Danio rerio: one gene and its partners. The protein of the gene in region 1 interacts with the protein of each later gene in a pairwise test. Links are inferred from orthologs where the notes say so. Each region holds a gene or a part of one and is shown in the gene's direction. Other genes may lie near its edges.

Evidence for each region. The genes of interacting proteins can lie anywhere in the genome.
Region 2: the proteins of siah1 (region 1) and ube2kb interact in binary tests that used the Homo sapiens proteins (3 or more experiments, as listed by UniProt). The link is inferred for Danio rerio from reciprocal best matches to the Homo sapiens genes SIAH1 and UBE2K.
Region 3: the proteins of siah1 (region 1) and rad51ap1 interact in binary tests that used the Homo sapiens proteins (3 or more experiments, as listed by UniProt). The two-hybrid records come from large-scale screens. The link is inferred for Danio rerio from reciprocal best matches to the Homo sapiens genes SIAH1 and RAD51AP1.
Region 4: the proteins of siah1 (region 1) and inha interact in binary tests that used the Homo sapiens proteins (3 or more experiments, as listed by UniProt). The two-hybrid records come from large-scale screens. The link is inferred for Danio rerio from reciprocal best matches to the Homo sapiens genes SIAH1 and INHA.

What each region holds. Positions count from the first base shown.
Region 1 is NC_133193.1:19,824,808-19,828,965, forward strand, and holds the start of siah1 (E3 ubiquitin-protein ligase Siah1), read left to right. Parts: upstream 1-1,358; 5' UTR 1,359-1,524; intron 1,525-4,158. UniProt on the Homo sapiens protein: E3 ubiquitin-protein ligase that mediates ubiquitination and subsequent proteasomal degradation of target proteins.
Region 2 is NC_133176.1:24,896,120-24,900,404, forward strand, and holds the start of ube2kb (ubiquitin-conjugating enzyme E2Kb (UBC1 homolog, yeast)), read left to right. Parts: upstream 1-1,472; 5' UTR 1,473-1,925; coding exon 1,926-1,988; intron 1,989-2,640; coding exon 2,641-2,734; intron 2,735-2,830; coding exon 2,831-2,889; intron 2,890-4,285. UniProt on the Homo sapiens protein: Accepts ubiquitin from the E1 complex and catalyzes its covalent attachment to other proteins. In vitro, in the presence or in the absence of BRCA1-BARD1 E3 ubiquitin-protein ligase complex, catalyzes the synthesis of 'Lys-48'-linked polyubiquitin chains.
Region 3 is NC_133179.1:5,640,183-5,644,431, reverse strand, and holds the start of rad51ap1 (RAD51-associated protein 1), read left to right. Parts: upstream 1-1,436; 5' UTR 1,437-1,780; exon of another isoform or gene 1,781-1,837; intron 1,838-3,658; 5' UTR 3,659-3,835; intron 3,836-3,919; 5' UTR 3,920-4,020; coding exon 4,021-4,073; intron 4,074-4,249. UniProt on the Homo sapiens protein: Structure-specific DNA-binding protein involved in DNA repair by promoting RAD51-mediated homologous recombination.
Region 4 is NC_133181.1:19,535,319-19,539,467, reverse strand, and holds the start of inha (inhibin alpha chain precursor), read left to right. Parts: upstream 1-1,336; coding exon 1,337-1,646; intron 1,647-4,149. UniProt on the Homo sapiens protein: Inhibins and activins inhibit and activate, respectively, the secretion of follitropin by the pituitary gland.

The sequences.
Region 1 (4,158 bases):
TTCAAATGAGATGGTTCCCTTTTCAAAAGAGGGTCAGCAACAAACACATAAAAAGTGATTTTTGCATAACAGACCGCCTTTTAATCACAGACACACCCTTATAACGCAAGTGCTAAGGTGGGTTTATACTAGCATTACACAATCCATATGAATCCAGTTCATTTCCCCCACCTACTGGCTGCTCAAGTTAGATAGTTTCCTCTCTATGCAACCTCCACTTTTCAGGTTACATAACTAAAACATCCACTTTTGCTTTTTTCAAGAACACATATTCAAGAAAATATTAAAAACTGAACCAGCTGCATCAGATCTTTCAGCATTGTCGAACTACAGCTGCCTTATTGAATCATGTCTTTTAATCATATTCGACTTCGGTGTTTGAGATCCAATCATTGAGCTAATAGTACAACCATTTTATAGAAAAATGACTATCTTTAAAAGCTGATTAACACAACAGTAACAAATGTATTATTATTATTATTTGTTTTCTTTTTATTAACACATGAGTCAGTGTTGGTGAGATACAAATTTAATTTTTTTTTTATTATCTAAATAGTGTTTCCAATAATCATTCATTCATCTTGTTTTCAGCTTATTCCCTTTATTAATCTGGGGTCACCACCACAGCGGAATTAACTGCCAACTTATCCAGTTTTCCCAATTCACCTATACCGCATGTCTTTGGACTTGTGGGGAAACTGGAGCACCCGTAGTAAACCCACTCGATCATGGGGAGAACATACAAACTCAACACAGAAATGCCAACTGACCCAGCCTATACTCGAAACAGCAACCTTCTTGCTGTGAGGTGATCGTGCCATCGTGATGCCTTGCAATAATCAAATGTTAATAATACTTTATGTAGAAATATAATATATAAATACCCAATTTATATGGGAAAAATCTTGGAACGTTGTAAATTTATATTGAGCAACTTTATTACATTTTCAATAATGTAATAACATTTATTTATTGCATTTTTACTTTTTCTATATTTTTTATCATTTGTTTTAAGCTACAACTTGCATTTGTTTTTTTAATCTACTGTTAATTAATTGTTTTATTAAATTTAGATCACTTGTTAAAATCATATTTCAGTTTTTTATTTATTGTTTTAAAATCCTATGATATGTAGTTTATTTTTATCCAGTTTTATTCAATTTTTGTTTTATACCAAAGTGCTAATTTGTCTAAATAAAATATTATATTCTTATAACTCCTAATCTGAGGACAGTACTTCTTCCATCTGTGTGTTGTTGGCCCAACGTTGTTCTCCTTCCCGCGTTCATGTGTCTGAAGCGCGTTCGCGTATCCTTGCAGCGCCGTTCCCGTGAAAATATATTTCAACAGCTTCAGTCAGTGCGCGACACCGAGACTGCCGGGCGACAGCAGCGTCTCTTTTTAGCGAATGTGGAAACACAAACAACCAAACGATTAACGGACATATAACCTAACGCTGCCCGACGTGTGGTGAATTATTTTTTACAATTAATTCGTTTGGCAGCAGAGGGATATTTTCTGGAGGTAAGTGCAATGTTTAAATCCTCCACTCGAGGATAATGGATCTGTTGTTGATTTTACTAGGCTTAGCGAGCTAGCTAGCTTAAAAAGCGGCTAGCCGACCATGCTATCAACAATTTTACTGCATTCCTCAGCAAAACACATCTTGTGAGTTCATTTTTTTCTTTAACACAATGTGATTCGCTGTGTGGTTCTTATCCAGTAACAAAATGCTTTTTAAATATTTTAAACGCCGATATATGGTCCATGTAGCCATTATTAGCCTGCCTTTGCTAGCTTTATATGCTTGTGCTAAGTGAGAAACACTGTTTATGTGACGAAATCAAATGTAATGCAACCAGTGCAGTGTTTTCCAATCGTAATTAGCGTATGTGTGCAGACGTGTTATTTCTGTTTATATTTCAGTCCTAAGATTAAGACCTCGTTTATTGTCAACGGATCATTTTTGACTGTTTCTAGCCATACAGAGATGGCTTGACTGACAGAAACTGTATTAGTTTGCGGTGCAAAAGCAGCCTCACATTATAAAAGTTAACTTGAACACAGAGACCGATACCAACATGTGCTACAGAAAACATTTTATCACTGGTTATGGTCAATATAACATATGGTGGTGTTGATTTAGAAGTCAGCCCAAAAGAAAAACATGCATAACGTTAAGGCTAACCATCAGCCGACACTGTGTGTAGGGTCGACACGATCAGATCGAGCATGTTACAGTAAAATCATCAGATGTGCTTGTGCATGTGACACCTAAAGGAGCTTAATGTCGTGAATGCTACACATGGGATTTATTTTAAGCTTTCGTGCTCGCAGACGCCTTGAACTTGGCTGCTCGATCACCACTCCGATTTGTTTACAAAGCGGCTGCAATTCGCCATGGAGATCCTATGCTTACATCGTTGTTGCGACTCAATTAGACGGTACTGTTTTTGTTGTTCTTTATCCTTAAGGATCCGTTTTAGCACCTCCCCTATCAATTACAGTAAACGAGGTTAAGTTGCAGGTGGTTGAAGCAATAGCTAGATAGGATAGGGTCAAATCCCTTCTGTAACTAACCCTGTTGTACTAAAGGTAATCTTGTTGTGAAGATGTTTTGATGCATAAATGATGCAATTTCGTGGATGTGACTTTTGCAGTAATATCTTAAAACTTAAATTTACATAGAAAGTATATGTTAACATTATATCGAAACATCTGTTTATATTTTCCAAAACAGCTCACCACTGAGATATGGGAGCAAAAAATATCAATCTGTAATTAAAAAAAAATTTAAATGAGCTAAATAAACATACGTTTTGGATCTGACTAAAGAAGTCTGCAAGTTTACAGTATACAACATTCTTTATAGAAATTCTGTGAATGAAACGGCACAACCCCAAAGAAACAATGCTAATCACAAGGAGAAGAGTTGGCTTAATGTAGAACAAAAATTATTGATTTTATTTTACATTTTTGCATTTATGAAGAAAGAGCTTCGTTATGAATATGACATTTCTCAATTATGGATGTGATGGATGTGAAATTAGCACTTGTGTGACTTTGGTTAATCAAATATAATTGTTGAAAAACATTGACAGAAAGATTTTTAATGTGTTTTTTACTATGCAGTAAAATACAGGCCTACACAAACATAGAAAGGGGTTCACTACTTTGGTGAAAACATAATTCATTTTTAATGGCAAGGTTAACATTTGCATGAAATTGTTCAAAATAAATCCAGGTTTTTAGAAAAGCTTATTTTTAAAAAGAACTGCTGAATGTTAGAAATGTCATGAGGTTAAACACATTTTTTTTTTTTTTGGTTTCATCCTTGTCCAGGTGCTTGGTAATGCAATCCTTCACCTTCATTTGTGAGGTGTGAGGAGAATGAACTGTATACATATTATGTTTGGAAGCATTCTTCACAACGTTTTTTGTTATTATTGTTTATAAGCTCTTCATATACAAATGTAGGCTCTCTGGCGGGATCTTTTTATGCTTACAAGCACAGAATGACTTAAATATGTCTTTAACTATTATATATATATATATATATATATATATATATATATATATATATATATATATATATATATATATTACTAACAATAGCAGTAGTTGTAGTAAAATTTGTAATAATTAAATGATCTGGGTAGGGCTGCACAATATATTGTTTCAGCATTAATGTGTGAATACGCAATAGTCATTTGCAGTTGTAATTTGTTGATTATATTTTATGCACTCCTCAACAAAACCATCCCAATGTGTCTAAAATTATTAATTAAGCTATCTTGAGATAAATGGCAATATAAAGTGCAGAAAATGTAAATATCGCAATGTACATTTTTTCCAATATCCTGCAGCTGTATATCTGGGGATATATTCCTTATAAACAAAAAAACTAAACATTTTTGAATAGATGGTTTTTAGTTAAAAATGTCAATTTGTTGCTAGGATTTTAAACTATTTCTTATGTCTTTCTTAAAACCATGTCAAGTTGATTCTTCAACCCTTTACCTATCCCACCAAGAAAAAAAATATTTGGATTACATTTCTCAACTCGTAATGTCATAATTAACACACTCAATGTATTTTTTTTTTCAACACATCCTATAAATTCTGAAATATCAATCTCTACCAAATGTTTGAAATGTT
Region 2 (4,285 bases), on another chromosome or scaffold:
AAAACTGTATTTGCTATATATTTAATTGTCTCCCTAATCTTATTCTGTGGCTTTAATATAGAAGGGCAGTTTCAGTCTTAATCTCACCCATTGACAAGATAACACAAATATAAATGCAAAGTACACAACTGTTAAAGATAATATAAAGGTCATCGATAGAGAAAATAACATCAAGTAAAAATCTGCAGTCAATTGGCATCTGAATTGATAGATGTATGAATAATGTGATGGCCAAATGTGGTCACACATACTTTGAAGTTGAATTACATTTTACCCATTCAAGGGAATACATAATCACCACAATGAGAAGTGAACACAAACACACACAGATACGAGATACAAACAACTGTCACACAAAGCTCCAAGAAGACTTTTGTGTACCAAACATCTGTCAGATTATGCCGCATGTTAAAACATTAACATGAAATGAAAAACATTTGTATGTTGATTGGGTTTCTGACTTTAAAGGCTGTAAATGTGTTGTGTTAGATGTCATGTAAAATATATTTTTTTTTTTCATTGTTTAGGTTTTTTTTCACATTTTTATTGGATAGTGGAAGTTGAGACAGGAATGTGTGGGGAGCAATCAGCAAAGAACATCAAGCTTAGACTGATTTAGGTCACCCCAAGCTCTTACTAGCTACTGACACTGAGCATATAAAATATCTCAATTTGTATTCCGAAGTTGAAGGTCCCAGGGAGTTGTAACAACACAAGGATGTTAAAGGTTAGTTCTACCAAAAATTCTGTTAGTAATTACTTATAACAGATTTTTTGGTAGAACTAACCCTTAAGGGCACCTCAGTCTCGGGTACTGAAAGTGGAAGAGAGCTCTGTTCATTCCCTGCCACACTGACAACTGGTATGCAACTTTTCAAGCATGGTTGATTTAACTTAATTTCAAATTGTTTATCAAATGAAAGGTGAAAAACGAAAAAAAGTTCTTATTAATAGATTTATATATATATATATATATATATATATATATATATATATATATATATATATATATATATATATATATATACACACACACACACACACACACACACACACACACACACACACACACACACACACATATATATATATATAGCATACAACACACCAAACAATTGTATTATTTTTAAACACTGTATTATTCACCATAGTGTAAACTTTTTATTTGTTAATTTTAATATATATGCTTTTTGCTGGCTGTATGTGGGCGGAGTAATACACAAAAGGTAAAGAGGCTGTACTGGTGCTGATATTACTTAAATATATCACGGCTATCAGCCAATCAGATTCGAGGACCTGACAGAACTGTTGTATATATATAAAAATAACTCAGATTTAGCATGGTATTATAATGGTGGTGAATACATATTGTATGCTACAAACGATTTATCTTCATGTTCCTGTTAGAATAATCAAAAAGGACCCATGTGATTTAATACTTGGTTTAAATAGTGTAGGCCTAAATTGTTTGCAAATTCAGTGAAAGGGGTGATGATGGACCGTATGCTCTGAACGCATCACGTGGGAGTAAAACAGATGCATCCGAGCTTTAGCAGCACGACATCATGTGACAGCACCACATCATATGGGAGTGAAACTAGATGTGAACGCATTCTGGATCTGTCAAGACTGAGCTCTGCTTTTCTGCTGCATAACACATCCACCTGATTCAACAAAGAAGGACAAACGCAGTGCTGTAGTGCAGTGTTTTAGTGTTCCAGGCTCTTATTTTGTTTACCGGTGCTTTTCTGGTGCTTTCCGTACTGTTTTAGGAGAGAGAGAGGGAGGGAGAGAGAGAGGGCGAAGGAGCGCAAGAGGGGTGTGAAAGTGAAGCTCTATCATTCTTTGCGGACTGGAGGCTCAAAAACAGCGGAAGAGAGAAGGAGAGAGAGAGAAAGAGTGAGAGAGAGAGGAATCAATCAGCCATGGCAAATATCGCTGTGCAGAGGATCAAGCGAGAGTTTAAAGAAGTGCTGAAAAGCGAAGAGGTTTGCAAAACGCTACTTTACTATATTTTCCTGCCCGTTAAGAACAAACAGAAGGACTTTTGGCGATGAACACACAAAACCCAATGAGCTAGCCTAGCATGCTAAGCTAATGTTAGCATGAGCTGTCATATGATGGACTTAAGATACGGAAGTCACACTTCTGACAAATTTGCTTCTCTCGATGTAATAAAACGAAAACATAGACCTAAATGTTTAATTCATTCATGAACATGTCAGAGTATTGTTAAATTTGTGCTGGCACACATCGAGCTTAAGCCATGGAGCTATTTGACATAGTTAGCCGGCTAGCTTCACCAACACTTCTATAGTCTGCAATAACAGCACTCGCACTCAGTGTTTTAAGGTTGGTTTTCTGTTTTGAAATGCCCATTAGTGGTTTACTGATCGTGTTCCTACGTTTTTGTGTGTGTTGGTGTCAGTTAACAGGGCAGCTAGGATGTTCTTTTTTTAAGTAATGCAGCACCTTTGACAGACAGCATTTTTGGGAATCATAGACTCATATCATACTGTCTTTTAAGGGTGCTTATTATGTTCAGAAGACAGCTTCATAACTTGACTATACCGGTTGTTTCTTTGTTCAAGCAACTATGGTACTCCTTACTAAATACATTTTTGTTTTGCTTTTTAACAGACGAGTAAAAATCAAATAAAAGTAGATCTGGTGGATGAAAACTTCACAGAGTTAAAGGGAGAAATAGCAGGACCGCCAGACACACCATATGAAGGTAATGAGAGCCTTTACATGATGTTTCTTTAATGTTTGCTTGGAGATTAATGCTGGAGATAAGATTATAACAGGCTAACGTTTTTTTTTCTCACAGGGGGAAGATATCAACTAGAAATCAAGATCCCTGAGACGTATCCATTTAATCCACCCAAGGTAATTCAACAAGTATTCTTTCTGCTGTTTTTACATATAATATTGCCAAAATATTTTACATAGACATACTATTAAGAAAAAGGAATGTTATTAATATAAAAATAAGTAGATAATAGTGTAACATGGAATTAAAATAACACGATGAATGAATGAAAGGGGATACAAATGTTATTTATCCAAAATAAATATAAAAATATATTTTTTTATTTTGCGATATATATATATATATATATATATATATATATATATATATATATATTGCAATATGAATACAATTTTATCAATGACTTAATAACTCAATTTTTAATCTTAGATCAACTGGAATGACTCTGCAGTGGGAGTGCATCTCTATAAAATCTAAAATTAATAAATAAATAAACAATTGTTGTGATCTTTGCTATTTGCAGTGCATTTCTGTATTTGCATATGTTGTGAGTATTTTCATACATGACAATCTGTAAATGCAGTCAAGACAAAGATGTTATTCAAATAAAGGGGTTTGTTGTTTCCCAGGTCTAACAGTATTTAAGTACAGTAACTGAATGATAAAAATAAAAACCATTCAATAAGGTCACAAATAGTTCAAGTTCTTATACCCAAATGCTTTTAAAAACATTAAACAATCACAGGCGTCAAAAACATATGCACATGATGAACTATAATACAAACTCATCATTGCCTATCATGCGATGTGACTATTGCAAATGATCACATTGCGAAATCGATGCTAAAGCGATATATTGTGCAGCCCTATTATGAAGTTAAAAGTTCCATAACATTTGCATCTGGATGATCTTTGTTTATATTCATTAAGGCAGTAGTGGGTTAGTAATGTTCAGTAATCGACTGTACTGCTGTAATTTAGTTGTCTGGATTTGATTAGCATGCAAAGCCTTTTAAAGACATCGGGTTAAAGAGTTTAAGTATTTCACTTAAGTTCAATATTGATTCACATTTAGAATTAAGAGAGAAAGCTAAAAGTAATACTTTGTGAACTAACCAAACTAGACATGAGAAGAAGGATCACATGAACAACTGTTAAAGTGTTCAAGTAAATCTCTCTTCTCTTTGTCTTTAAGTCTAGAGGGGTCATTGCTAGTTTGGAGGAAAAAAAATAAAATAAAAAAAAAAAAGATCCAGATTTTATATTATTGACATTGATTATTTTTTTCCTTTGCGCCAGGCTATGATTAGTCAGAGGATATCAGACATGTTTGAAATTTTAAACAGATTTTAGAACATATACATTATCATTTGTCTTCAAGTAATGATATGAATGTTTCGTCTGCTGTTTATTATGTTCCAAATAAAATGAAAGTTTATTAACGTGTAATTCTCAGTCGTTTGATCTGCAATGCCCCAACAATTGATTAATAAACCAGTAAGTAACAGTTAA
Region 3 (4,249 bases), on another chromosome or scaffold:
AAATTGGTGAGCGTATGTGAGATTTCTCCTGAAAACATTTAAAAGCAGCTTCTGACCTACAAAATTGCTTGTTTAGTCATTTTAGTATTATTTTCTAACAGCACCCAAATGCTCACACAGAAGATCCTGCTTTTGTCTCTCCAGGTAAAGACTCGCTTCAAGAAGTTCCTCAAATCCTTGTTTCAGCGCATGTTAGAGGAGCACGGCTCTGCGTTGAGCTCTGCGCCATCGGAAGCAGATCAGCCTGTGATCGCTGGACTGGCAGACGATGGAGCACAGAACGTACCCGTCCACGCTCTGATGGTCAGTCACGGGGCGTTTATCCGCGTATCTGTGCGTCATCTGGTGGAGGATCTGCAGTGCTGTCTGCCCGCAGGTCTTAAGATGAACCAGGTGTTTTCTCCATGTCCAAACACTGGCATCAGCAGGTTCATCTTCACCATCCATAGGGAAGAGAGTGTCCTGCGGGCCACACGCATACAGGGGGTCTTTATCAACAGAAAAGACCACCTGGAGGAAGTCAAAAACTCTGACTGACAGGGCTCACTAAGACTGCTTGATTTGACAGTTTGTATTGCAAACCCAGCAACTGAAGCACATTACAAGTCTGTGTGTTTGATTTTATCATGAGTATTATTTAAATGCAGTTTTGTGAGCTGGCTGAACGTAAACACTCATAAGATGTCTTTTTTGATGTCGTCCATTATTTAAGCACTTTAAAGTTGCACCACCGCAGTTTTGGCCTCTATATTCACACGTAATGTGTACACGTATTCGTTTTCATGCAATAAAAGAAATGCTGAAACTTGAAATCAAGGAAGTTTGATTTGTTTTTGGATTTGTAAGTTAGTAGTAAGTATTTTCCCTTGGAAATGTATACTTTGTGTGCAGAGAAAATATTTGAATGTATTGAAAAGTGTATTGAAATGAATCAAAGTATGCTTGAAATAAAAAAAAAATGGACAGTCAAGTCAGGGAAATGGCGTAGCATATTTCTCACAGTTAAATTAATCATTTTAATTTCTTCTTTTGTTAATTATTGTTTTTAAAAGTGAAGCTAAAGCAGTGATTTTAATGTGAGCTTACAATCACTTAAGATAAACAACAGCATTGTTCATAGACTACTAGCACTTTTAAAAGCAAAAACTATTCATGTATAATTTAGTTATTTTGCTTCTTTACTATATTTATCTAGATTTAAGAATGTTCAGTGTTTACCAATGTGTTTACATGTCTGTGATATAAAATTATATTAGCCTAAAGTAGGCCTAATTGAAACAAAAAAACAAAATATTGAATCAAAAGTCCTTACCTTGGCCATTAAATTGATGTTCTGCTGTTGTTCACCATAATATTAGCGTAGCAATTCTCTCCGACTCGCTCAGAAATTGAAGGTTAAAAACAATACGTCATAAAAAACAACATGTGACGTAAATACACACTTCGTTTGCTGAAAAAGTAATCACGTCAGCGGTCGGAGTGCGTGAACGCGCATGGCAAATTAACGGTCGATGAGTTCAGAATTTTCGCTAATAATACATCAAATTGCGTTTTATTTTTTACCATATACGCTCAGAACACTTGAAATTAATGGATTGTGTCGTGTATGACCATCCTTTAAAACGTTTTATCAAAACTATAGTCATGGACGAGAGCGAGCACGACGTTTTAACTGAATTTTCAAACATGTAACGTTAACTTAGCCTAGATAGTGTGCTTTGTCTGCTGTTTTTTTTCCACAGAGTACAGAAGGACATGACTTGTCTTGAAAAACACCAAGGTAAGTTAAATAATGTCTGCGTTTTATATTTTTTGGTTGACGTTCATTCATTCTTTCATTCAAACTTTATTTATAAAGCACTTAACCACCAAAGTGCAGTAACGTTACAGTCTAACGAGTTAACGAGTCAGATATACGTACACACTATGCACACTATTTAAAACAAACATAAAATCAAGTGCCAAAGGTTAAGGGAAAAGATTTTGAGAGGTTTTGAGATGGGATATGAACAAAGACAACGTTTTTGATGTTATTATTATTGAATATAAGAATAATAACATCACTGCATTGAAGAAAAAAATAATAACAAAAAAACAAACAAACAGAAAACAATACAAACTTTACAAAGCCTCAATTTTTAAGAAAAAAAAGATTATCATAAGCTTTAGGAAACTTATTTTTCTTATTATTAATAATAAGAGATTCAGTTTCTGCAAGTAAAAGTATTAAATCTAGGGACTGCCTTTAGAAACTTATTTTTGTGTGAAAAATATTAAGAGTGGAACAAATAATAATAACAAGAAGATGGAGAGCATGATCATTGCCTGAGAGATACAGAAATATATCTTTTATAGACAAATTTAAATCATATTTAAATAAGGACGATAAATAAAAAATCTTATTCCAAAGACGTGAGTGATTGAGTGCAACTATAGAATAAGTGAAATAAAGTCTCTTCATGTTTATTACAGAAAGTACACAAATTAGATAGTTCAAAATAAATAGCAATTTGGGAATTTGTAGGATATACATATGAAAATCTTAAAATGTATCTCTCTTTGTTGGACATGCTGAATTTTTTAGGTAATAACCATGCTCTCTTCCATTGAATGCTGTCAGAGGAATTGGCCCAGAAATATGTACATCTTTGGGAGGTATAGAGTAATGTAACAATCGTCTGACATGTCGGTTGTCACATTTTTTTTAATCAAAAAAAGAATCTCCATCCAAAAAAAAAAAGTTTAGGTGTAATTGTTTTCCCCTCATTGAAGTAAAGAAACATTTGAAATAAATTCACATAACTTGACATGGCGGCGCAGTAGGTAGTGCTGTCGCCTCACAGCCAAGAAGGTCGCTGGTTCGAGCCTCGGCTGGGTCAGTTGGCATTTCTGTGTGGAGTTTGCATGTTTTCCCTGCGTTCGCATATTCCTCCGGGTGCTCCGGTATCACCCACAGTCCAAAGGCGTGGTACAGGTGAATTGGGTGAGCTAAATTGTCAGTAGTGTATGAGTGTGAATGATTGTGTGTGATTGTTTTCCAGAGATGGGTTGCAGCTGGAAGGGTATTTGCTGCGTAAAGACCATAGACTGTAAAATATAGGTAAAGACGTGCTGGATAAGTTGGCGGTTCATTCCGCTGTGGGGACCCCGGATTAATAAAGACAATAAGCCGAAAATAAAATAAATGTGTGAATGAACTTGGTGACAAAACTATATATAACACAATTGAAGGTTGTGGCTGGCAGACGGAAATTATACCATAAACTCATAAACTCCTCATATTCCAGAATATTGCCATAATTTTTTTAATTAGTCCAAAACAAAAACAAACCACCTATCAATAAAAAGAGATTTCTCATGAATTAAGACTTTAAAGTTATTCCTAAGTATTTCTTTGTGTGGGGAAAATAAACAAAGACAACGAAGGAGCCAGTCTAATGGAAAGTGACGTAATGCATATTAGGGTATACTATTTTCAATTTCATATTTTATTGGATTATATCGATTATGCGATGGTATGTATGTGTAAACCTATTAGTGATCAGAAGGTAAAATATCAAATGTCCATCATAAAAATGGGCATTTGAAGATTGTATTTATATTGATCGTCAGATCCTATGATTTTAGGCTAATTGAATTGTGTCTCCTCATCCAATAGATGGCGCTGTGCTACTGACCTCTGGAGGACAGATGTGCCAACCTGCTGATGGGTAGGAGAATGGGACACGTCTTCTCTGCCGCCCACTCCAACAGGAAACATTCACCATCTTTGGTCCCTCATTTTCTCCGGCGAGGGAAACTTAGTGATCTTCTAAGGCTTGTCATTTTCCTGCCGGTAAGTGGGCGGCAATTTGGTTGAGTTGGTCACGCAGGGGACCTGGACGACTCAAAAGCACTGACTGACGTCCTGCAATCCAAGCAGACGATAGACTAGTTTGTGGCCACACATTCTTCAACTCCTCCAGACGATCCTAAAATATCTGCTCAGACAAATCACATTTCTTACATGCACATGTGTTCATGCTGAAGCTGCCAATGTGCTCATCATCAAAGCTCTGCAGCAGCAGCTTCAGGTATGTTATTGTCCAATATGTTTGTACACTCAAACAGCTGCTGTGTCCATAGACAGGAAAAGGCCACTTCTATATAAAACCCTGCAGTTTTATTTAGTTTCCACAGTTTAGACACCCAAACAAAGCCACGTGCCCACAATGTTTTGTTCTGCTGCAGTTCCACTTAACTGTTTGGT
Region 4 (4,149 bases), on another chromosome or scaffold:
GGTAAAAAAGAAAAGAGTAGAGCGTTCTTTTAAATATAAAAAGTCTATTTTGCATGTGGTTTGGGAGAACAGATTACCAAAAAAAAAAAAAAAAAGTAATTTGCACTTGAGTTACTTTTAAGTTGTAAAGGAGATTCATTCATTTTCTTGTCGGCTTTGTCCCTTAATCCGGGGTCGCCACAGTGGAATGAACCGCCAACTTATCCAGCAAGTTTTTACGCAGCGGATGGCCTTCTAGCCGCAACCCATCTCTGGGAAATGTAAAGGAGATGTCATGTTTAATTTACATTCACGTGATTGATGTTTTAATGCTCTGTTTTTAATTTGGGTATCCTGAGTTAAAGGGAGGAGCAGCGCAGAGGTGCACTGGGTAGCCCTGTTGCCTCACAGCAAGAAGGCCGCTGGTTCGAGCCTCGACTGGGTCAGTTGGCATTTCTGTATGGAGTTTGCATGTTCTCCCCATGTTTGCGTGGGTTTCCTATAGGTGCACCGATTTTCCCCACAGTCCAAAGACATGCAGTTTAGCTGAATTGGGTAAGCTAAATTGTCTGTAGTGTTTGTGTGAATGAGAGTGTATGGGTGTTTTTCGGTGATGCGTTGCAGCTGGAAGGGTATCCGCTGTGTAAAACATATGCTGGATAAGTTGGCGGTTTCATTCCGCTGTGGCGACCCTGGATTATTAAAAGGACTAAGCCGTAAAGAAAATGTATTAATGAATGAGTTTAAGGGATAGTTCACTAAGAGATGTCAATATACTCACTATTTCCTTTTCATCAAGTAGTTTCCAATCTTTATTTACCAGTAAATAGGCTTGGAACAATTGTAGGGTGAGTAAATGATGACAGAGTTTTCAGTTAGAGTTTTAGGGTTAACATTCTTTAAGAATTCCAAGCAGTGAGAATAAAAGCATGATACAAATTTGTAAATGTACTTTTTCTGCTAGGAAAAAAAAAATCTTTTTCAAAATTCTCTTGTTATACTGTGTCAATTCCGTCCAAGGCCAAGCAACAGGGAAAGAACTGTAATCTCAAAAGTCGTTTTGTCCCATCCATTCTGTGATAGCAGGAACCCAAACAATGATTGCTATTTGCTTGCAAAAAAAAAAAAAAAAAAAGAACGAAAAGATAGAAAATCACAGACTTCTTTTACTATGACATGGACCTGCAAGAAGAAGGATTACTGTAGAGCTCTTTTTTTAACAGAAAAATTTCAAGAAAAAAAAAATCTTTATGAACTTACAGTATATGTATATTTAAAAACTTTCTATACACATCGATTTTCGTTTATGCGCTTGTAATTTCCAGTGTCTGCTTTTAACCTCTGTTGAGTTTTGAGGATGCTAACTGGGACAAGCTCTTTGTCTTCATTTGCTTGTGCCCTGATGCTGTGGGCTTTGTTTTCTCCTCCATCGGTTCAGGCCTGTCAAGGAGATGAATTACCGTGTGACATGGTGCTTGGCTGGCTGAAAAGAAGGATCCTTGAAGGTTTGGGGTTGGATGAGCCTCCTCTGCCAGTGTTGCAGCTGCCAACACGACAGGCAGGGAACAGAGCTGTGCACCATGTAGCATCACGAATGACTAGAGAAACAAGAGTGGAAAGAAGACACCATCAGGAGTCCTCTCAGGTCATTCTGTTCCCAAGCTCAGGTCAGCTTCTTTTAACTCTAATGATAGCATATGAAAATGAAGAGTGTGTAAAAGATTTGGCAAGATCATAGTTGGTAAAAATCCTCTACTCCTATGGATCTGCTCACTATAATAATTTAACAATTCAATTCAATTCAATTCAATTCAGCTTTATTTGTATAGCGCTTTTACAATGTAGATTGTGTCAAAGCAGCTTCACATAAATGGTCATAGTAACTGGAACAGTGTGGTTCAGTAACTGGAACAGTGTGGTTCAGGTTTTAGTGTTTAAGTTCAGTTCAGTTCAGTTTAGCTCAGTTCAGTGTGATTTAATCATTACTGAGAGTTCAAACACTGAAGAGCCAATTCATCGATGCGTAGCTCTACCAATCCTGAACCTTGCGAGGCAGTGGCAACAGCGGAGAGGGAAAAAAAAACTTCACCTGATGGGAGTGAAGAAAAAAAACCTTGAGAGAACCAGACTCAGTTGGGCACGACCATTTTAATTTCTCCGCTGGCCAAAAGTAACGTATACTTATATATATATGAAGTAACATATACTTCAGTTCAGTATATACAGTTGAAGTCAGAATTATTAGCCCCCTTTGAATTTTTTTTTTCTTTTTTAAATATTTCCCAAGTGATGTTTAACAGAACAAGGAAATTTTCACAGTATGTCTGATAATACTTTTTCTTCTGGAGAAAGTCTTATTTGTTTTATTTTGACTTGAATAAAAGCAGCTTTTAATTTTTTTAAAGCCATTTTTAAGGTTAAAATTATTAGCCCCTAAGCAATTTTTTTTCTTCTACAGAACTACAACACCAACATTATACAATACCTTGCCTAATTACTCTAACCTGCCTAGTTAACCTAATTAACATAGTTAAGCCTTTAAATATCACTTTAAAGTGTATAGAAGTGTCTTGAAAAATAGCTCGTCAAATATTATTCACTGTCATCATGGCAAATATAAAATAAATCAGTTATTAGAAATTAGTTATTAAACTATGATGTTTAGAAATGTATTAAGAAAATCCTCTCTCTGTTAAACAGAAACTAGGGGAAAAAATAAACAACGGGGCTAATAATTCAGAGGGGCTAATAATTTTGACTTCAACTGTATATAACTTTACAACTGCATTTCAACCAGGCTGTTAGGTTAGGTTGAGGGTTAGTAAAATAAATTGAAAATTGCATGCAGTAGATTGTTATTTTGGGGCTTTGAAAAAAGTGTTAGCATACATCAAGCAGATATTATTTGTCACTCTAATGGCTAGTGGTTGACGTAATTAAAATGGTGCATCTAAAGTAAGTAAGTAGGTAAGTAAGTAAGTAAATAAGTAAGTAAATAAAGTCATGTGGTGTGAAGCAACACAAATATAAAGGGCAAAGTGAAAACCCGGCATTATCTGTTATCTTGTTCAGTCTCTCTTAACTTTAAAAAAAAAATAAGTTTGTAAAATGTCATGTATTGTGACATTACAAAAAAAGTATAATTATACGTAATTATACCTATTTATTTACCCACAAAAATGATCTTCAGATATGTAAACATAAAAAAAATTAACTGGGGAAAAAAGAAATAAAAACAAGGAAATAAAGATAAAGATAATAAAGATGTTAAAGGGCTACTATTTTACCCCTTTTTAAGATTTAAGAAAGGTCTTCGGTTTCTCCAGAATGTGTTTAAAGTTACAGCTTACACTATCAATCAGATTATTTATTGTATCTTTTTGAATATGGGCAGTTTATGGTCTGAGTACACTGTGGCTGTTTTGCTTTGTTGCTTGTGCCTTTAATGCAAATGAGCTGGTTCTCCCCACCCATCATTCCCACATATGTGCCAGCAGGTATAGCACATATATGATAATTATAATACATGTAAAGTACGTATTTTACATACAAAATAGTATTTTGTCATTTGTATTTTATAGGGTTTATGAAAATGTCTTTATTTTTTAATGTCTTGTGTTTTTGTATTTTAAAATACTGTAAAATACTTTGTAGAAGTTTACATGATGTCATCATCAAAATGGGGTTTTAATGTAAGAGTGGGTTTAACCACAGCGGTTTAAACTTTAGTTTTGCCGAGTGACTAAAGTTATCAGCATGGTAAAAAAACTGTATATTTCTAGTCAAACCAATCTTCTGCAATCTCATACAAAAAAAAAAAAAAAAAAAAAAAACTGAAATAAGGGCAGTATTAATAGCTAAAAATGTGGGAGTGTGTTGATATTATGTGATTGTGTTTTATTGCAATATGGAGCAACTAAGTGTTGATGTTATATCAAAAGTAGTGGTTACAACTGAATTAATTACAAATAACTGTAAAATTATAAAATACGAACCGATAAAAACATATGATAATAATCGTACCTAGCTTAAATGTAAAATTAAAGTTACCAGAGGTAAAAGGAGAGACAAAGAAAGGGAGAGACAAAGAGAGCAAGTAGGCCTCAAAGAGGCAGAGAAGATATTTAAAGGAGGAGCAGAGCAGGTGTGCGCAGACCAAGAAAAGAAACA